Tamandua tetradactyla: one gene and its partner. The protein of the gene in region 1 purifies or fractionates together with the protein of each later gene. This does not show direct contact. Links are inferred from orthologs where the notes say so. Each region holds a gene or a part of one and is shown on either strand. Other genes may lie near its edges.

Region 1 (11,067 bases):
GTACATTACGGGAGATGGCCGGCAAGCAGAAGATGACAATACGTGCCTTTTAATCATCCTTTTTCTATCTGCAAACCGTCTGCTGGGGCTTCGAGACCACACTGTTCCGGCTGCCAGGCGGCCCAACCAGGATCATGAGTCCTACCCATAACTAAGGCTGAATTTTCCCGTGTTTCCGAACAGAAATGCAGGACAGAAAAAGAAGATCGGAAACCAAAACGAGGCAGAAAAGAAGAGGGAAAGGCTGAGAGAAACCAAAAACGAAACACAAAGAAAGCTTGAACAGCAGAAACCTGGAGCGGTCCCTGTGTACTGAGACGCTCTACCAGACCATTGGCTGCTGTGTATGTGATGACCCTTGTCCTCTGGGTAGGTCCTGGATAACTGGACATAAGCCAGCACCCTCCAAGTTTACCCGAGGGATCTCAGAAGCCAACAGCTACGCTCCCTGTGGAGACGTGTTCAAAAGTCGACAAGTCTACCAACACTCCAGAACCTCACAATGACACTACACGATGATGTCTGGCACAAGTCAGACCACTGTCCAAGTTCAGTTCTTAAAAGCCCAAAAGCTCGCTCTGGAGGTTTCACCTACAAAATTTCACTACTGGGCCCCAAAGACAGTGAAAGTTCCAGAACCTTCCATGATCTCACAGCATACATATTTAGTAGTTATATAGATTTATGGTCACCTTTGTTCTATTTTCCTGACTTCATCAATTCCAAAGAATAAAGCAATCTACTTCCAGTAGAAAACAGGTACAAGTGACATGCCAATTAAGAATCCGGCAAGTAAATGTTCAAAAAAATGATCATAGTAATGAATGCACAACTATGTGATGCTATTGTGAGCCACCGATTGTAATTATGTCATGAATATCTGTATGTCAAGAATGTTTGTATGTTTGTTTGCTGTTTTATAATAAAAAACATTGAAATAAAAAATAATAATAAAATAAAACAAAGTGGAAAAAAAAAAGAATCTGGCAAGTAAGTCAGGCCAAAGACTATGCAAGGTAGTCTTGTAATTTTCCAAGTGTGTTATTCCAGCCTCAACTACCCTTAGTGTCAACACTTCAATACAGTCAAAGAAATCCTATATAATGATGCTTTTCTGCCAACCATGTCCCACAATTCATTTCCTGATTCCCCAAAGCAGCCTTTAACACGTGTACATATGTCAAGCAATTTGTTTCCACCAGCAAATCTTACCTTGTGGCGGTGCAGAAAGGTACAACTGTCTGGAGGTCTTCACAACCGCTGTCCACCCCAAGGCCTAGAATGGATTTAAAGAGAGGAAAGATAAACTCCAAGCATGGGTGTCAAAAATAATCCTTGAAATCCCCAACCCCCAATTAATAATCAGCTTAAACTCCGAATCACTGACATCTGCATCATCTCACCCCAAGCCACTGTGCACATCAAAATAAAATCAACTAGTCTGAGATGAGGTGAAATGGGTTTTAATCATTCAAAATAGTCCCACGTGCTGAATACTTGCACTAAGGCCTCTCCCATGACCTGACAAACAGGTGAAAAGTTCAGGAATCACTGGATTCAGCTTTAATGTCCCATATTGCTTTAGTTTTAAAGATACTTTACAAGACACACGAGCAAAACAACAGATATTATGTAAGCAATTTTTGCTATATATTTAAGTTTCACAAATTATACAAAGTATTCCAAAAATACCTTCTTAATGAAACAAAGTAATACTCTCACAACTAAAAGGGACCGTATACGCTATAACTCTCTAAGCATTCACATGTATTATAACTAACTAAACAGTCAAGAAACTCCACACTAAAATTATATTTATTAGAAAATACACTGATCAGCTCAAAGGAAAGGAAAACTTCAGCCAAAGGACTTTGTCCTTAAACCCACACTGTACCCCGTACTTTTATTAACACTCCAAATGCAATATCTGCTATGACTCGTGATGAAAAACGAATCAGAGACACAGAGGACTTGAAACAGAAAAGCACACAATACCAATTCCAAAGCCCAGAATGGAAGCAAAATGTCTTTCTCCCTGGGAGGGGGATGGGGGAGTCAGAGGGGTTGAACCCTCAGGGCCCCCTGCTCTCGGATTTCGCCAGCCTTCCTCTCCCACCAGCATCCTCCCACACCGCGCACGGCCGCTCGCCCCGAGGCCGGCTGGCCACTTCCACGTCGGAACCGACGAGCGAGAAAAGGCCAAACTCTGCCCTGGGCCTGCGAGTCTCCGCCCGCGGTCAGCCACTAGAGGTCCCCCCTTGGCCAGCTTTGCACGTTCGCGATTTTGCTGCACTTGAAACTTTCCGGGGAAATGCTCTACTCGAGTCAGTGTTTTTCTAAAAACTTGCGCAAAAACCCACGCGACGCGGCTGCCCAGTGCCGAGCCTCGGTCCCGGGCTTCCCGGACCCACAAAGGCATCCCAGCGCTCAGAGGAACGCAAAATTACAGACCGACGCGCCCGCCGCAGCCGCGCTCCCCCTCCCCCCCCCGCCCCCCACCCCCCATTTCCACTTATCTCAGTTTCCCTCAACTTCGAACAATTCGTCTATTTTTGTTTCTGCGCGCTCGCAGCGACCTTCGGCGGCGTTCCCGGGCGCCGGCCTGGGTGGGAAGGCGCGGCCCGGGGATGCAGCGCCAGGCGAGGCCGCGGTCGCGGCGCCCGAGGAAGTTGCATAAGGAGAGAGACTCCGTTTTTCGGGTCCCCTCGAAAACTCGGAGGGGAGGGGAGGAAAAGGAAGCGGGGGGGGGGGGGGACTGTGAAGGGAAACCAAAGCGACGTTTACCTTCGTCTCCCCGTGGAAGGGTGGGGTAAGTGCCACCGTCCTCGCGACCCCGTGGGGCGGCTCGCAACCCCCACTTCCCCCCGAGAGCGGACGGACAGACAGCCAGACACCCCTACCCCTCCGCGGGCGGGCGGGAAGGAAAGCGCCCGCTTTTCAACTTTCTCTCACGGTCGCGCTGTGGGCCGAGCTTTGACCAGAAGGAGGGAAGGTGGGGGGGGGGGGACCCGAAAACCCAGATCATTGGGCCTTTTTTCTTTAAAGGTAATTAAAGTTTTACCACCAGCACAAAAGTTGCACCCTGCCCCCCGCCCGTGTCACCGCGCCGCCACCCCCGCCCCCCCACGTCTCGGGGGCTCTCAAGTTTTCCTCCCTCTCCCCCCTCCCCGGTCCCCTCCCCCAGCTCGCGGGGCGCGCGGCGGATGCCTGGGCTCCTGCGCTTCCCGGTCCCCCCCCACACACCCCGCCGGCCTCTACTTCCCCCGCCCGCCCGGCCGCCGGGCCCAGGACGCGAGTGTGCAAAGCCCATGGCCGCGGCACGGCCCCCGCGCGGACCCCCGGCCGCCTCCCGGCGCTCGGGCGGGCGTAAACAAGTTGCAGGACCCGCGGCCCCGCGTTCCCGCCCCCCGCGGCCCCCCTTCCCGGCCGCCGCCGCCGCCGCCGCCTCCCGGCACACGCCCGCAGCCCCCGGCGGCGCGGCGCGACACGGCGCGGGGCGAACGCCGCGACGGCACCGGCTCCGGCCCGGCCCGCGCCCTCCGGCGCCTCCCCGCGCGCACGGCCGCCGCGGGCCCGCGCCGCCTCGCCTCCCCGGGCACTTTCCCGGCCCCGGCAGAAATAAACCGGAGGGTTTATTTTTGTGCAACTTTCCCAAAATGGCGGAAATTGGAGCTGCTCTCTATTAAATTCTCACACAGTCGGTCGGGCAGGGGGAGGCGGCGAGGAAGGCAACGCAAACTCGGGTCCGCCGGGCCGCGCCGCGCCGCGGGGTCCGGGTGTATGTGTGTGTGTGTGTGCGCGCGCGAGTGTGAGTGTGCGTGCGTGTGAGTGTGCGTGTGCGCGGTGGGAGCCGGGCAGGCCTCGGCGCCGCGCACACCCAGCACACGCCGGCAGGCGCGCCTGCACATTCAACCAGTCCGTTCTCCGCAGCCCGAGTGCGGAGAAAGTGGCCCGGCCTCTTTTCCCACTGCCTCGGTCTCCCGTACTTGGACTTCTCGCGCTCGCCCCGCCGCTCCCCGGTGCGCGCCCGGCACAAAGGCCACACACGGGCGGAGGGGGCCGCAGGGGCGGGCGCGGGGCCGGCCGCCTCCCGCCGCCCCGAGCCGCGGCCCGGCCGCCCCCGCCCGCCTCGGCCGCCCCGGCGGCGGCCCCGCGGCACCCACCCGGCACGCGCCCCCGCCCGCGCCCGGCGTCAGGAGAGGGACCCCAGTGACAGGCTCGGGGGAGGGGGCGCGCGGGGAGGGGGCCCTCCCGCAGAGCGCGCCGCGGCCGCCTCGCCCGGCTCCCTTCCGCACGGCCCCCCACACCCTTCCCCGGGTGCGCGCACCGAAAAAAAGACAAGTCTCTCCTCCCCCCCATTTTTCCTTTCTCTTTTCTCGCTCTTTTGTTCCTCTTTCACACTCGCGCTCACTACTTCACGGGGAGATGCCCGGGGACTCCCCCTCCAGCCCCTTCCGAGTCACTTGCCCACTTTTTTCCCCGGGATTAAGTTTTCTCCTCTTTCCCAGAGGCGGAGAGAAGTGGGGGAGAAACCCCTTCTGTCCTTTCCCCTCCCGGGTCTGTTTCACAAGGGCAGGGTGCGCTTCCTTCCCTCGGCAGCGCTCGGAACTTTCATCCTCACCCAGAAAAATAAATGAATGCCTTTGGCACGTACAGATCTGCAGATTAACGAGCGATTCGATCAGATCAGCCGCTTCTTACCCCCAAATTTTCTCTTTTTTTTTTCTCGGTCTCACGAGTAGTCCTGACAAATGGTCCAGGGCTGCGGGCGCAGTGCGCATGTGCGCGTGGAGCCTGGCTGGGGAGAGGGAAACTGCGCTGCCGCCGCCGCCGCCGCCGCCGCCGCCGCCGCCGCCGCGGCGGGCCGGGCCGCTTCCCGGCTGCTGCCTGCGCCCTGCCTGCCTGCGCCCTGCCTGCCTGCGCCCTGCCGGCGCCCTGCCTGCCTGCGCCCTGCCTGTCTGCACCCTGCCTGCCTGCGCCCTGCCTGCACCCCGCCTGCCTGCGCCCTGCCTACCTGCGCCTTGCCTGCGCCCTGCCTGCCTGCGCCCTGCCTGCGACCTGCCTGCTCCCCGCCTGCCTGCGCCCTGCCTGCGCCTGCCTGCGCCTGACTGCGCCCTGCCTGCGCCCTGCCTGCGCCCTGCCTGCCTGCACCCTGCCTGCGCCCTGCCTGCCTGCACCCTGCCTGCCTGCCCGCGTCCTGCCTGCGCCCTGCCTACTCGCGCCCTTCCTGCGCCCTGCCTACTGGCGCCCTTCCTGCGCCCTGCCTGCCTGCGCCCTGCGCTGGAGAGCAGCCGCCACCCCGGCCCGGCCCGCACGCACGCGCCGCCTCAGGTGCACCTTCTCCCGGCCTGGGCCCGGCTCCGAGCCGTGGCCAGGGCGGGCAAAACAAACGCGAAGGGCGGCGAAGGTGACAGCTCTCTTTGTCTGTTTTTCACTTTACATTTTTTAAGGCAGTTCGCAGAGCAGCTCATCCACCATGTGCTGCTGGATGTGTGCATTCAGCCGTTAAAGAGTGGGCCCTCGTCCCCACAGACACTCGCCCGAGGCCACGTGCGCGCACAGGCCAAGGAAAATAGGAAAGAAAGTTTTCAGCCCTGGCAGAGTATGAGCCCCTCCGCCACCCCCCTCACTGGGGCCTCGAAGGCTGCGCGGCCAAGTGCGGGGTTTCACCTTGCGTGCTCCTCGTCCTCCTTCAGCATTGACTGTCTTCACGGACATTGTAAACTAGCCAGGCCTCCACCGTGGGAGATGGGGAGACTCGCGGATCGGCTCCGAAATCAACGCGAAGGGCCCTCAGCAATAAGCAAGTGGAGGACTTTCGTCCTGGTGTGTTCAGACACCCCAAATACCGAAGCCTGTCTTTGTTAACACATCAAAACCCAGGCAGAGAGTACGGGTCGCACGGACAGCTTTCCTCTCCTCACACAGGCCGGCTCTAGCAAGGCCGTCTTCCGAGACACAAGTCCTTACACAAAGACTCACGTAATCGAAGTTGTGGTGAACATTTTCGTGTCAATAACACACTTTGCTGTGCGAGAAAAAAGAATAGCCTGTGCGATTTCAGAAATGGGGGAGCCCCCCCCCCCGGATATTTATTTTGCATCTAACCCAGGGTGAAGGAGGCCCTTTTCTGAAATTGCTGCCTGAGGCCTAGAATTTAAATATATCACAGATGGAATTCTGTATTAAAAATCCTTCTCCAAAGTGTAAGAAATATTATTCTTGATTGAATTTTTCACTTAAGGAATGTTTCTTGAACCAGTTTCAGAAAATAAATTGTTCAAGTCTTTCCTTAGCACCATGAAATTACCCTAGAGAAGCAGACCACCCAACTCTTTCTTTTTTGGTATGGTGGCTGAATTCTTAGAGCCAAAAATCTGGATATATGGCTCGGCCTCTCCTTGGGGACAAAGGACAAGCCCTGGGAAGCTGAAAGAGGGGTGTGAAGTGCAGAAGGCTTGGTCAGCCAGAACTGTGGATAAGCCCAATCCAGGGCTAGCTATCGATTTCACCCACCACATCGTACCTTTCAGGCGCAGCCTACGGAACTGATGGGAGTTTCGGCTTGTCCGCTTTTCTCCCTGGCTCTGGCATCATGAGCAGTGTCATGACCGAAAACAGGCCACACAAGGAGAAGGAAAGCAAGGCCAGGAGCTATGTGCAAACCCAAGACCCTACCCCAAATAGACTAAAAGTAATTTGAAAGTCCTCTTTCCAAAAAAATCGTTTTAGATTCGTTCCCTCAGTATAATTTCTAGATGATATGTCTATTGTAGGTGTATTTTCAGAGGTATCAGGTCAACATTCTGCAAACACAAACTGGCCTTCTACCATGTGCTCTGAGGAGTCTGCAAGCTGCTGGGAATAAACACGATCGAAACACTGCCCTGGCCACGAGGAACTTGGCCTGATGAGAGAGAGACATCTAGTTAATATGACATTGCATGATGGCATGGTAAATGCTAGAAGTATGGGGTGTAAAGCCAGCACAAGCCAGGAGCATTTATGGTCTTGCGGGGAGGCTTTGCAGAAGTGATGGCTAAGCTAATCCTGGAAGGACAGAGGTCAGTGGCTTATGGGCTCAGCCTTCCCCCAAGAAGGTAGGTGGGAGGGTGATCGAATCAGAGGGAGCCTGAGCACATGGGCCCGTGCAGAGCAGAGCCTGCCTGGGAACTGCTCATCTGCTGAGGCTCACTAACAAAAATAAGCCTGAGTGGAGGGTCTCCACAACGCATTTTCTTTCTCCCTCCAGAAATCATGAGAAACACCTCAAAAAATTTCATCTCAGTTGTTCCCAGGGTGTTGTGGTTCAGGGTGATAAAGATTTTGGAGGTTCTCCCTGAAAGGATAGCTTTAAAGACTGCTACCATTTTTTTTTTTTTTTTTTTTTGTCCACAGACAATCCTTCAATGCTGCCATCTGAGACAGGCAGAATACTGTCTTGGAATCTAGATGACATTGTTTTATTCTTCATATTAACAGATCCTGTTTACAGGATATTTCTCTACCTCTTCCCTAAATGGTAACATACTGGTAGAAGCTTCTTTGCCTTCCCTACACGCTTCCACCATTCAGTCAAGGCCTAGTAATTCATGATGAATCCCTTCTCACCAGCACCACTTACTGTCACCATCCTCCACCACCCTCCCCCCTTCGCCCGTCGCCCAGCTAACCCATCCTCCAGGCCGAGGGCAGGTGGTCTATAACCTCCCTGGCAGCCCAAATTAAGTTTTAGCTCACTGCTCTGTTTTTCTTTATATTTATTTGTTATGCCCAGACTTCCCCCCAAAATAATTTCGAGTTATTCCACTCCTAAATATTCTGAACCTGAAGTCACTATACACGGGAGATGTTTGAACGTGTCACTGCACTCTATAGAGACATTATGGGGCTCTCCATCAGCACTGCCAGGCACAGGCCACACTAACCTCTCTCCATCTTGTCACCTCCACCGTCTGTGAACTTCAGTTTGGATACCTACGCTTCCTTTTTCTAACACTAAATTCGCCCTGCCCTGATAGGCACACTGCTCACACTTGCCCTCTGGCACGTACTCCTCTAGGAAGGCCTGCAGGGAGCACCTTCACATTTTAGTATAAATGATATGGAGGAAAGGAATTTTAAGGAAGGAGTGAGAACCACCCATCTGCTGGGTGTCAGAATGCTATCACTGAAGAGCTCATTCACTCCGTAAAGCTGGGTGCTAATGAGATGGAAGGACGAAACTCCATTCCCTAATGGCTACTTAGTTTTGATCTGTTTTATAGCCACAAACTCCTTCTCTAACCTCAGGCCCCTGGATTGCAATGTGTGCTAGTGGGCACAAGTCTTAAGGTAAAATTGAATCTATCCATAGAGATTTTTCTAAATGAACGATCCTTTAAATCATCATTTTAATGTATTATCTTACTTTTTAAGTAGGAGTCAAGTTATTGATTTTTTAAACCTACATAATTGTGTGTTCCATGTTTTTCCAAGTATCAAAATGACATTACCATTGATTTGGCCAAGATTTTTATTATTGATATTTGTCAGAGCCGAGTTTGATTTTCCTGTTAGTTCTAGATAACAGTGAAATGTGCTTGTAGGTACTCTAATTTGAATCCTGATTGTCTTTCCTGGGACACATCTGCAAACATTCTTAGCACAGAGCTTGTGGTAGCAAAATGTCATTGAAATGCTGAGAGTGAAAGAAAAGGATATATTACTTATCAGGTAAAGGAAAGACTCCTAGTGTGTATCATACTGAAAATATCTTAAGGAAATTAAATATATGAAGAACTCTGGGATAGATGTGATTATTATCATTTAATTTAGGTATAAAGAAGGTATCAAATATAGACATATCTGGAAGAGAGGAGAATCTGGGATTGTAAACTGACTTCTAAATTAAAAAGCAAAAGGTAATTTATGTTAATTTCTCATAACACACCTACTCATTTAAACCTAAATTCAGAAGCATTTTAATTAAAAAGTAAGAGAAGGGTGGGCAACGGTGGTTCAGTGGTAGAATTTCGCCTGCCGTGCCGGAGACCCGGGTTCGATTCCCGGAACCTGCCCATGCTGGAAAAAAAAAAAAAAAAAAAAAACAGTGAGAGAGGGCAAAAGCCAAACTTCAGAACTTGTCTGTGCCAGTAGCTCCCCTCCGTCAGAGCCCCCTGCTCTGGGAGGTGCCTTCCAGTTGACCCGCTCTCCTGGCCGCAGCTGACTGGCCCAGGAGTGGATATTTGGTCTATGGACTGAGCCGAGTGGCAGGCCTGGCCTGTGGGCAGCTTCTCTGTGGGTGAGAATGTAATGAAACAGGCCAGTCTTCTCATACTTGGCCATATGAACTGGGCCTGTGATAGAAAAAGTTAGCTGGCAAGCTTTGCAAAAACTGAAAGATTCACGGAGAGAAAAGGGGAGAGACTGGGCGCCCCACCGCGGCCGTGGGGCGTTAGACGTGATGCCCAAGTAGAAACCATGAGGTCAAGAACAGCCAAAGTCAGCTCACGGGAGGAGCAGCAGATGAGCAGCATTCCACAGGTCCCTGCCCTGGACTCTGTGTGACCTTCTCATCCCAAATGCCATTCTGGTCTCAGAGAGGCCTGGCCGCTCTGTGGTCACGAGGTGACGCTCTGCATAGCTGCAGTTCCTATTTTTGCTAGTATTTCCACAGAGACTCCCCACCCCTTGCAGACAACTGAGTAGAATCTCCAAAGATAAATAAAAGACCCAGAGGAAGCAAATGCATGTAACTCATTTTTTTGACCTTACAAAGTTAAAGCGGGCCAAGTTAGTTGAATTGGCAATCCGGTTTCCAGCCATTTTTTCTCAGTAGTGGAAGGTGGACTTCTAGATTTAGGTCCCAGCTTCACCATGTGCCAAGGTGTGGTCTTGGGCAGGTCGCCTCAGTTTCTCCACCTGCAAACTGGGGGTACTAACAGGACACAGCCCACTGGGTTTCTCCTGTGTCCCCTGCAGTGCTCCCGGCACACACCTGTTCCTGCATGCAGCAGGGGTGCAGTCAGTGTTCCCTGAATAAGAGAGTCATTATCATCATGTGAATTGGTGCATCTGCACATCCCACTTGCCCCTTTCAGTGGCTGATTGCTAGGCCTTAGGTGTCGCGTGGCAAGCATGCGCTCGTGCAACTTCCTCCTAAAAGTTCCTAAAAGCAAGTAAACAGAGAGTGCTAATGGAATTCAAAGGCCCTATTTCAAAGGAGCCTGCTGTTCAGAATATATTATCTTTATTTAGCATTTATATTACACTTTTACATTTTCAAAGCCCTTCTCGGTTTTTTAAACTAAATATTTGTTATAGCATTCCTACGTTATCTTTCACAGGGGCAGTAACAGCGGCCTGGTTCCAAGCCCTAATACCTGTGTCTGGGATTGAATTTGTCCCATAAATACAGTAAGTGCGAGTGTAGAAAAAACCTGGATCGTTAGTTTGTTCACGTAGAATGCAAAATGGGACGTATGAGGAGACAATCTGTTACGTTAAATTAGACTTACTAGCTGTGCCTTCACCATGGTTCTCTTTTGAAAACTAGAATCAATTGAAAGGTTTTTAAACTGAGGTTTCTCAATGGGTTCAAAGTCTTTAAAGAATGAAATTTTTTAATTTCGGGATTGAAGCATTCTCCATTCCTTGGTAAATTTCCCAACTTTTTTCTGTGAAAATCTCTTAGTGGAAGTAGTACTTTTCTAGTGTCAGTCTGTTGGGGCTTCTGTGCAGATGCCCCTAGATGTTGACAGTGAGGAACAGAAGGAGTGAAAATGAGCGTGAGACTGACCGTCAGTTGAGAGTGATCTCACTTAAGCATCTGCAAATGGGCTGACCCAATCCAGTGTCTGTGGGGTTTCAGGAAAAACTCAAAAGTGTATTGGACAGAAAAGAGATACAGAGTGTTGGCCCTCATTGCAGCTGATGGGCTCCAATGCAGATTAAACCCGTCTTAACGCTGAGGGCCGGTCCGTCGAGCTGGGTGAGCCGACCCTTTGCGCCTGTTGGCTCCTGCTCCTCAGCCCTGCCAGCTGGGTCATGGCTCTTGGGCCCTCACTCCAGCCTCCACAGTGTCCC
Region 2 (10,423 bases), on another chromosome or scaffold:
GCTTCCCCTGGGTGCCAAGCTCTTACTTAAGACATTGCAACTCACAAATGGGTGAAAGTAAAGAAAAGCAATCCCCCTTTCCCTGCCCCCCTCCCATCATGGACTGTGATTTGTTTCCTTATTGCATTTCTTTTTTATCCACTCCCATTGCTCCTATATTTTTTTCATTCCAATGCAGAAGGGCACTTAAAGCTTTTGTCAGCAAGTATCCCCCTACCTCATATTCTCAACGAAAACCTCAAAAGCCCGTCTGTGAGATGGCCATGCTGTGGTAAAAAGCTGGAAGCCCACCAAAATGTCAGATAGCACTTAGCACAGGAAGGTGGTGTGTGTGTGTGTGTGTGTGTGTGTGTGTGTGTGTGTGTGTAAGAGAGGGCAGCTTATTAGATTTATGTAAAAAATCATCCAAACATTCAAGAGGATGTAGCAGAATCTATCACTGTCTTTTTGTTTAGTAGGCTGAGGACTGGGAAGAAATAAAAACCCTCCACAATTAATATACAATTAGCAAGAAGAAAAAGCTCTGAACAGAAATGTTTGAAGGGGAGGAAAAAAAAAAAAAACCCAACTAGTCCTGAAACATGCTTGCTCTCCTACAGCTGAAACCATAAATTAAATACATTTCTTCTCAAATCACTTGATACTTCGGCACTCCTTCTCTAGGGATTACTCTGACATGACAAGTGCATCATTTAGTATTTTCACAAGATTTTATCGCTGTTAGAGAAGTAGATGATTAACAACACTGTGTGGGATAATCTTCGCTCCTGAAACACACACACATACAAACTTCCAGTTGCTAAACCATTTCGAGCATTGCTAGAGAAAAGCAACATTGAATACAGATCTACACCTATTCACATACATCCACACACCGCTACAGAGTAGACAGGAAGACAGCGCTGCTGCTCCATGCCAAAACAATGATTCCACTTCAGTTGGAAACTGTTACACATTCACCATTTTCTGAGCATCTCAGGAAAACAAAACAAAACAAAACAAAACACTCACACTGCTACTCTGCAACACCACACCACAATGTCTTATTATTATTATTTTGGGTGGAAGAGTAAAAAGAAAACCTACCTAGAAGCAACTAAAACATAGCAATTTTTATAGGCTTATCAAGAACAGCCAAAGAAACCCCAATGTTTTCTTTCACAAAGTAGGCTGGCAAAGGAATTCAATAAGGAGGTACAATTTGACACAGTGAAATAAAACCAGGCTGGCTCTCAGCCAACATGACGTTAGGAATCACACACAAGCTGCACCAACTGCCTTCTGGTTCATGGCTGCCTTTTTAAAGCTACAGTGTGCCCGTTCACTTTCGCTAACTCTCCTCAGCACAATTAGTGGAACTGAATGAATCACGAGGCCACAAACTGCAGAATTCTCTCTGCACCTGTCTTGTACAAAGAACAACAGGCGATATCAATGGCCCTTTATTTTCTCCCTCCCCTTCATTGTTGCCACATGGTATGTTTTTGCTGTGTGTCTGGGCATGAATGTAAGGTTTCCAACTATTCTTTTTCCCCCCTCTGTGGGAAACGAACCTAAGAGAGACAACAACTCAGGTGCTTATGGGGCTATGATCAGTGAACACTCGGAAGCTGGAGTCCTGTGTTATGCTTTCTTCCTAATAAAGATGTGTGAGAAGAAGGAAAGCACTGCCCAGTCAAAAATCCTTTTACTTCATTATGCAGGAAGAAATAAATTTCAGAGTAGATGCAAAATAGATGATCAGATCTCGTGAGAACAACCACATTCTTTTATGTTGGCATTCATCCCACCAAACGAAGGCAGCAAAAAAATTTCAAACTGAAACAAACAAAACCTTTTCTAAAAAAAAAAAAAGGAAAGAAAGAAAGCAATTAGTTCTGGGAAGCTGAATTTTAACTCTTTATCCTAGTTGTACACAAAGCATAATTCAACAAATTCAACCAACCTTGATTGAGCACCAATGAACACCTGGTACTATATTAGTCTTACATATGAATAAGAAGACATTGTGCCAACTCCAACTTCACAGTATCTCCCACCACCACTCTAAATCCCCATTCAGGAAATTGGGAAGAAGGATTGGGGATAATGGGAACGGGAAAAATCTTTTGATTAAGTAACACTTGATAATTCCACCGGTCTCTTGTTTGGCCAGCCTCAATTCGGCTGCCTCTTGATTGAAATAAGCACCAATCAAAATTTGTCCACTTTTAGGTCAAGATGACAACAAAATCACTCAGGGCAGAAAATATAGGTCCCTAAGAAGAGTCCTGGAAAATCGGCTACAGATTTCAGGCATTATTCAAGAGAAAACTGCTTGCCTCACTTCTTCTCAGTAACTTTTAAGGGCACCAGAAGATCAGCAACTGTCATCTAAATTTGGAACCTAAATTTCAAATTTTGTCTTTTTTCTTTCCTTACTTATTTCAGGAATGTTATTAGACATTTCCAACTTCCTGAAAGATCATCACTGAGAAAGATTTCATATATTCTCTCTACCTATCTTTGCCACTGCCCCCTTGTAAAAGCAAATGATAATGTGAGTATGAATTCTAAGTGTCTGAACATTTTCAGTAAGGATCTGGCAGGTGGATCCTTCACCACTGCTGATAAAAATAATGGACTCTTATGATTAGGAGTTCTTTCACCAACAGATTCCATAATATCTTTGGGCTTGGTCTGAAATTTGTGAACTGTTTTCCAGCTAAATCCAAATAGGAGGCTGGACTGAGTCCTGCGAGTGAGAGAAGGGGAATAAGATAACCTGACAGCACTGTAATGCCACTGGTCATAACCAGCTCTTCATCTTCAGGGTACCGCTCTTGAAGGGAGGGAAGCCAAAAAAAAAAAAAAGATGTAGTTACACCCAGCTCTGCCTTAGACCCTCTCACAGGTGGGAGGACTCTGTGGAGTTTCTCCAAGCATTTCTTCCTAAAAATAGAAAAGATCAGCCCATCTTGTCTTTCCTACTGTGACAGAGTTGAGTTTGCCTATTAGACAAGTGTACAGATTTCAGAGCGTGCTCTAGGAAATCATTTCCATTTTATTAAAAAAAAAAAAAAAGAGCCAAAATCATTCTGGATCACGTCAACAAGTTGGTTTATCAGCTAGTTTCTAACTTTGGCAATAAACTGACATTTGTGGCTGTGAATACACACACACACTAATAAACACCTATCCCACAAACTCTCCAACAAACTGTTAGCCACTTTTCTCTGCTGTTTAAAAATGTGTGTGTGTCTGGAGTGTGGTGTTATGGCATGTACAGTGGAAGCATAAATGCAGCATTGTGTAATATGCATAGTGTACATGTTCTCTAGTATGCCTGTTGTCTATGAATAGTGTGCGGGGCATTTGTAGTGGTGTATGGATGCTGTGTTTGTGATGTATGCAGTGTGGGTGTTGTGTGGGGGTGGTGTTTGTAGTATGTGCAGTGTGGATGTTGCATTTGTTATGTGTGTGTAGTAAGCGGTCTGCGGCGTGCGCAGTGTGGGGGTTGTGTGAGACGGATGCAACCAAACCAGTCCTTCTGATCCAGCACATTATGGGATGTGCTTCAGTAACTTCGGAGCCCTCGGTGGGGATTCTGGAGCAGAACTTTCCGGCACACTTGGGTGTAGGCTCAGACGGGAGGGGAGGCGGGTCAGGAAGGGCGGGAAACTGTGCCTTCTTTTATTGATCAGCACTCTCAACTCCCACCCCCAGCCCCCTCCGGCAGAGCGGACTCGCCCGAGAGCCAAAGACAACCCCGCAGGCACCACCCACCGTGCCTCGCGTCCCGCCTGTCTCTGTGCGCAGACCTGGGTCCCGTGGCTGCAGAGGCAACCTCGAGAAAGTCGCCCGACGGGCAGCACCGAGTTCCACGCATGGGCGTCTGTGGGGAAATGGGGCGGCCTGGAGAGGGGGCGGAGGGGGCAGGAGAGAGGCCAGGAGAAGGGACGCCTGGAAGCCTCTTGGAGCAGCAGCTCCGGCCGGGAGCCAAACGACTCGCCTGTGCTCCAGGCAACACGGAGGAAAGTTTCTGGCAAAGACTTTCAAGAACCAGTTCGCCTCTGAGTATGGAGGTTCCCGGGGAAAGCCCGTCTTTGGGAAAGGGGGCGTGGGAGGTGTGGTGTTTGCCGCGCACGGCCACCCCCGGGTCCCATCCTGCAAGCTGGGCGCCGCAGCCCCCGGCGAGCCCCGGCTTCTGCCCCCAATTCCAATCTGGGGTGACACAGTCCACGCTCGTGAGTGCAACAAGCTGCAGGAGCACCGGTCACACGGCGAGGAGGGCAAGGCGGTTTTTATTATGGTTTTCTTCATTTCGTTTTATCCTGGAGAGGGGAGAGGGCGGGCGCGTCCCCAGCGCCCGCGCAGCACCAGTGGATCACTTACCTCCCCGCATGGCCCGCGCCGGGAGGCTGTGCCCGGGGCAGAGCTCGGCGGCCACCACGCGCCCAGCCCGAGTGCCGCCCGCGGGAGCGCGCACAGCTCGTCGGGAGTTGTAGTTCTCCGCGGGCGGGGCGGGGGTCCGAGGGGTGGGGGCCACAGGGAAGGAGAAGGGCCGGGAAGAGACGGAAAGGGACCAGGCGCGTTGCAAATGAGGTGGTAACAGGGACCTTGTGAATGTAACGCAGGACATCTGCAAAAACTCTAAACCTCCAAGTTGCTGGGGAAGGGAGGTGGGCAGTCCTAGAGAGAGTTTTTTTATTACGTGTTTTCAGGCTCATGCCATTCTCTTCCCATCTTACTCGCTAATGATAACCCTGATGAAGTTTCAAGCTGGAATTGAACGGTCATGGCCAAGTATAGAGATTTCCCTAGGCCAAACTATTATTTAGGGCCTTCCTTCTTCTCACTTCACCCCGAACACAAACGTGGCATTCTCTGCTTGGAACACCTATTCTGTGATTCACAGAATAACTCAGTTAAAGCCCTGGGCATGCGAAGGTGGGTGTGGGGATGGGGTGATTAATTGCACAGGTTTTAAAGCACTTTTTTACTTAATTGTCTCATCATATTAGAACCATACACCAAAACCATAAAGATGTAAGAAGTTTTTTTGTATGGAACCTGAAGAAGTTGGCGCTACTCTGCACTTGTTCCTTTTCCAGTGTAAAACTAGCTGCTAGGAATAAGAATAAGAAGGGGGATGGGTAACGGGTGTGGTGGGTGAGTGCCGGAAGTGGAGCCTGCTGTGAAGGACTTTCTTGAAATGTCTAAGTAAATCCTTATTAAATAAGGACATAAGACTAAAGATGGACCTGGGGGAAGAATGGAGTGGGAAGGGAAAGGCAGATGGGATAGGCATAGAGACCCAGTAGAAGATTGTCATCAGCCAAGAAGCTATGTGGAAAAGTAGTGTAGGGTTAAGGGATAGAGTGGGAAGGAAAAGCAGGTGGGATAGATGTAGAGACTGAATATAAAGTTATGATCAGACTAGAGACAATATGAAAAAGTTGTATCCAACAAATAGGGATTTTAGAAGTCAGATAGATGTGGCATTCTGGTGTCACATCCAAGCTAACTCTGAGACTGTAGGTTACTTAACCTCTTAAACTTCAATTTTCTCATTTAAATCATAATAGTTCCAACCTTATGATATCGTTGTATGGATTAAAAGAAATGGAAAGCACCTGATATTTCAAGTGCCTGGCATATCATAAAGACTCAAATAATGTTGGCTACAATTATTATTATCTGCAGAAACTCCCTTTGTGGAAGTATCAAAAGAAAAATTGAAGTAGAACTTCTAATTAGGTGGCTGTGGCACTATCCTAAGCTACAAGGTAATGACAGCTTGAACTACCTTGATAGAAAGGAAGCAGATATGAGACACATTCAGGGGAAAAGGGACTTGAGCAGTGCAATTAATTGGATGTGGGGCATGAGAAAAAGGGATCAGAGTTGGTTGTCATTTCTAGCCTGAGTAAGTAGATGATGTTACCATTCACATACATAGGTACAATGGATGCAATGACGGTTTTAGAGGAAGATGACTAGCTTGATTTTGGACATGTGTAGCTTCCGTCTATGAATGACCAAATAGCATTTGGAAATGTGGATGTGGATATCAAGTGAGGGATGGAACTTAGGAAAAGTAGTTGAAGAGCTTGTGGAGAGAAAAAGAGGAGAGCAGAGGCAGACAGGTGGGGACAAGGAGTCAGACAATGATCCCAGGCAAGAATTGATGAAGAGGAAGGGGGAAAGCAGTGACATAGAAGCCAAGGGAAGAAAGAGATTTGGGGAAGAGCTGGTCAACAGTATCCAGTGGCCAATAACAAAAGGAAGGAGGCTACAGGATTTGAAGACTAAGTAACCCCAAAGAGGGTGGGTCTCAACTAGGAATGAACTGTACTCAGGGTTTTCTTTTGGCAATTTGCCAGGGTGACTTTGCTTGTCACAATGGTTGGAAAGTGGCACTACTGGGATGTAGTTGGTGGAGTCAGAGACGCTAGACATCTTGCAATGCCCAGGACAGTCCTGCTCAGCAAAGACTTGTCCTGCATTCTGTGCAACTTTTTGCCTGTCCTACTGCTCATTCATATGGACGAAAAACCTGTTTATAAATATCTGAGCCTAGAACCTGTTTACATATAAACATAAAGGTTTTTGCATATAAACAAAAAGGTTTTACCTGTAAACAGAAAGTGGTTTTTGCACAGTTTTAAGACATATTGAATTTTCCTGGATTGTAGCTATTGAATAAACAAGGGGAGATTGTAATTTATCTTGTTCAGAATTTGGCCACTTCATCAGCTACAAACCATTCATAGAATCTGAGTTGCTAATACAGTCCATTTTGTGGCTGTCAGTTGCATTATGATCCTACAGATGGTTGCAAGCATCTGGCTACTTCCTTGTGCATTTTAGTTTACCTGAGTAGTTCCATATGAATCACAAGTTACTTTCTTTTAATTTAATTTTTCCTTTAAGGCATCACTTTGATTTTTTTAAAATTGCATGTGTAGGTAGCATATGCCTTTCACTTCAGGATAGTAAAGAGGATATTACCCTATATTTGTTCTAAAAGGGGTACATTAGGTTTGACAAGGCTGGGAACCATTTACTCTTGCAGTCAACATATCTCTTGAATACCTACTATGTGCTGGGCACTATTCTAGGTATCTGAGATACATCAGTAAATAAAACAAAATCTTCTCTGCCTTTATGGCACTTATATTCTAATGTCTGTGGGTGGTGTGGGAGGCAGGCAATAAATAATAAATATAAAGTAAGTAAAATCCACAGAACATTATAAAGTGGTAAGTGCTGTGAAAACTAAAGCAGGATAAAGGGAAGTGGGAGTATGAGTGAGAATGTGGGTTGAAATTTTAAATATAGTGATCAGGGTAAACTTCATTGAGAAGGTGATAGTCAAGGAAAGATCTGAAGTTGGTAAGAAAATGGCCTTGTAGCTTTATGAGAGAAAAGCATGACAGGAAGAGGGAACCGTCCAGCATAGTCTGGTCTGCAAGACAAGTTTGTTCATAGAATTTTCAAGAAACAGCAAGAGTGCCAATGTGGTTAGATTAGAGTGAGTTGGGGGTGAGCAGTAGGTGGATTGAGGGATGACGTCTGGGCTGGGGGAAGGTGATAGAAGACATGTAGTGCATTGCAAGGACTTTGGCTATCACTCAGTGAAATGGACAGCTGCTGGAGGGTTTTGAGCAGAGGTGTGACATGGTTTGACATATTTTTAAAGGATTATTCTGGCTTCTCTATTAAAGATGGGTCATAGTGTGCAATGGTGCAAGCAAGGAAACCAGGTAGGAAGCTATTGCAGCAATCTCATCTGCAGTAATCCAGATGAGAAAATAGTAGCTTGAATAGAGTGGAAGCAGTGGAAAAGTGGTCAGATTCAGAACTGATGGATTCGCTGTAGGAGAGGAATCAGGATTCCATAGGGCACAGGAGTTGGGGGCTGGCGGATGGAAAATAGGAAGAGATTAAGGGATGTGCAGAGTCTTGGGAGAATAAAATGTGGGAGTGATGTGAGAATCAGAACTACAAGCTGTCCTTGGAAGGAAGGGGAGATTGTTTTCTGATATAAAAGGAAAGAAAAAGACAATGGGCAAAAATTCAAAGAAATTCTAAGGAGAGATGGGGGTAGAACAAAAGATCTTGTTTTATATTTAATAAACAAAATTTTGTCTATTATGAAAACAAATAGGTATATGGTAAAAATTTAAAACGATCAAATTATTCATAGAAAGTGAAAATTCCCAATAAACCCATTCCTAGAATAAACGATTAAATGTTTTGTGTATATTGTCTATTTTTTCCTAAACATGTACTTTTTTTTTTTTTTTTTTGGTAAATGTTACATGGATACTTAAAGTATTAGCATTTTTTTCCTTTGCACCCTATAAGGTTCATATAACAAATATTTGTTGAACATCTATTACACAGCAGATATTATTACATCAATCTTTTGATCATATTACATACATCTATATCCGTTTTCTCATCTTTTCAAGAACAGAAATTTATTAGTCTCCTAACATTTCTCTTAATATTTCCTCTCATGTCTTGAAGTTGTGCTTTATGATTTTATGTCTTGAAGTTGTGCTTTAGGATTTTAATGCTCTATTATTTGATAACTGGGGATTCATAATAGAGATAACTTCATTGTGAGTTGCATTCTTTGCCATTATAAAGTGACTCCCTTTGTCCCATTTAATGCATTTTTAAGTTTATTTTATCCCACTTACAATTATTTTAACTAGATATGTTTAGTCTAATCTCTACTACCTATTTTATTTTGAATCTGTATTTTTTTTTCTATCTTTTGCTTTATGATCTGTGTTTTCCTTGTTTTTGTTTTGTTTTTATTTTTATCTTCCTCCGTGTACTAGTTTTCTCTCCATTGCAGTATAACGAATTGCTCCAAAACTTAGCGGTTTAAAACAACACACATTTATGTTGTTGTCCTGGCCTGGCTTAGCTGAGCCCTCTTCCTCAAAGTATCTCACAGGGCTTCATTCAGCATAGGTGGTCTCAGTGTAGGTGGTCTCAGCGGAAGACTCAGCGTGGAGAGAATCTGCTTTCAAACTCCAGCGCAAGGTTTAGTTCCTTGAGGGCCGTGGATCTGAGGGCCTCAGTTTCTTGCCACATGGCCCCTCCATTAGGCAGCTCACAATATGGCAACTGGCTTCCTCAGAGCAAGCCTATGAAAAGCCGCAGCGAGACCAAGCAAGACTGCAGTCACAGCGTTTTATAGCTAAGCTCAGAAGTGACACCCCATTGCTTTGGTCATATTCTCTTTGTTAGAAGCAAGTCATTAGCTCCAGTCCACCCACGAGAGCATAAATACCAGGAGACGGGGACCAGGGCGAGGCACTTGAGAGAATGACCTACCATAATCTAATATGGAAGGTGTAAATCGGTTTAAAATAGCATTATATTTTATTTCTCAGCTTTAGAAATGAAATGATGATGAAAGATGGTGAAATCAATGTACTTAGACTCTCTCCACCTCCCAAATAGTCTGGAGAGCAAATCTTGTTCTAGTCTATTCTCAAAATAGTATTCTTTATATTGTGTACATTTTAATTTAAGAATCATAATTATATCTAATTCTTATGACTTAAAACACCACTTATTTAAATATAATTCTACGTGTAAACAGATTCAAAGCTCAGGGTCAAATTTTTTTGTGTCACGAATGTCTCATTTATGAATTCATTATTATTATTACCCATCTATTCGTTATCTTAATTTTTTTTCAAGATATATTCTTCAGAAATGTAAGTTTTTAAAGTTCTTGCCTATTTGAGAATTTCTTTCTGTTGCCATTATACATGAAAAGCAGTTAGGCCAGATATAGAATTTCTTTTTTTTTCCTATTAAATATTTATCAACAATTGTTCCAATTTCTCCTAGCATCTAACATTGCTAGGAATATGTTTGACTTTGTTTTTGTCTTTGAAGATGATCTTTTCCCTCTGCCTAGAAGACTATAGCATTTTTTTCTTTTATCTTTGAAGTTCTAAATTTTCTTGGATTGTCATAAGCCTCTTCAAAATGTGATTTTAAGACTTTTTTTCCAGTAAATTCTTTGATTATGTAAATTTTTCAGTTCATTTGTTCATTCACATCTTCAAAAGCAGCAATTGTTCATATGTCTGTTCTCTGTTGTCTCTTGTCCACATCTTTTACCATCTCTCTGATCACCTTCATTCTTTGTCATTTTCCACTAAATTCTGTGTGATTTTTTTCCAATACCTTGCCCTCCATGTCCAGTTATCTGCAGTTTGAGTTCTACTCTTTGGTGCTTTTAATGAAATTTTTAGTGATCAATTTTACTCTTATTTATCTCCTCTGCTTTTCTGGATTTCACTTTGTTTCACTGTTATTGTATATTTTCTTTAATCATTTGAGTCCATTGTATTTTTAATTTCCTAGGAAGTTTTAGAGCATTTATGTCTTAATTTCCTGGAAT

Evidence for each region. Proteins that work in one complex are often made in the same cells at the same time.
Region 2: the proteins of L3MBTL3 (region 1) and SAMD13 purify together in Homo sapiens (affinity purification with mass spectrometry; 3 studies listed by BioGRID and IntAct, counting the BioPlex papers as one, with this or other methods). This does not show direct contact. The link is inferred for Tamandua tetradactyla from reciprocal best matches to the Homo sapiens genes L3MBTL3 and SAMD13.

What each region holds. Positions count from the first base shown.
Region 1 is NC_135331.1:191,513,009-191,524,075, reverse strand, and holds the start of L3MBTL3 (lethal(3)malignant brain tumor-like protein 3), read right to left. Parts: upstream 4,797-11,067; 5' UTR 4,702-4,796; exon of another isoform or gene 4,655-4,701; intron 3,794-4,654; exon of another isoform or gene 3,695-3,793; intron 2,962-3,694; exon of another isoform or gene 2,785-2,961; intron 1,277-2,784; 5' UTR 1,213-1,276; intron 1-1,212. UniProt on the Homo sapiens protein: Is a negative regulator of Notch target genes expression, required for RBPJ-mediated transcriptional repression. It recruits KDM1A to Notch-responsive elements and promotes KDM1A-mediated H3K4me demethylation.
Region 2 is NC_135337.1:40,793,298-40,803,720, forward strand, and holds the start of SAMD13 (sterile alpha motif domain-containing protein 13), read right to left. Parts: upstream 4,446-10,423; 5' UTR 4,385-4,445; coding exon 4,375-4,384; intron 1,294-4,374; exon of another isoform or gene 1,087-1,293; intron 309-1,086; exon of another isoform or gene 218-308; intron 1-217.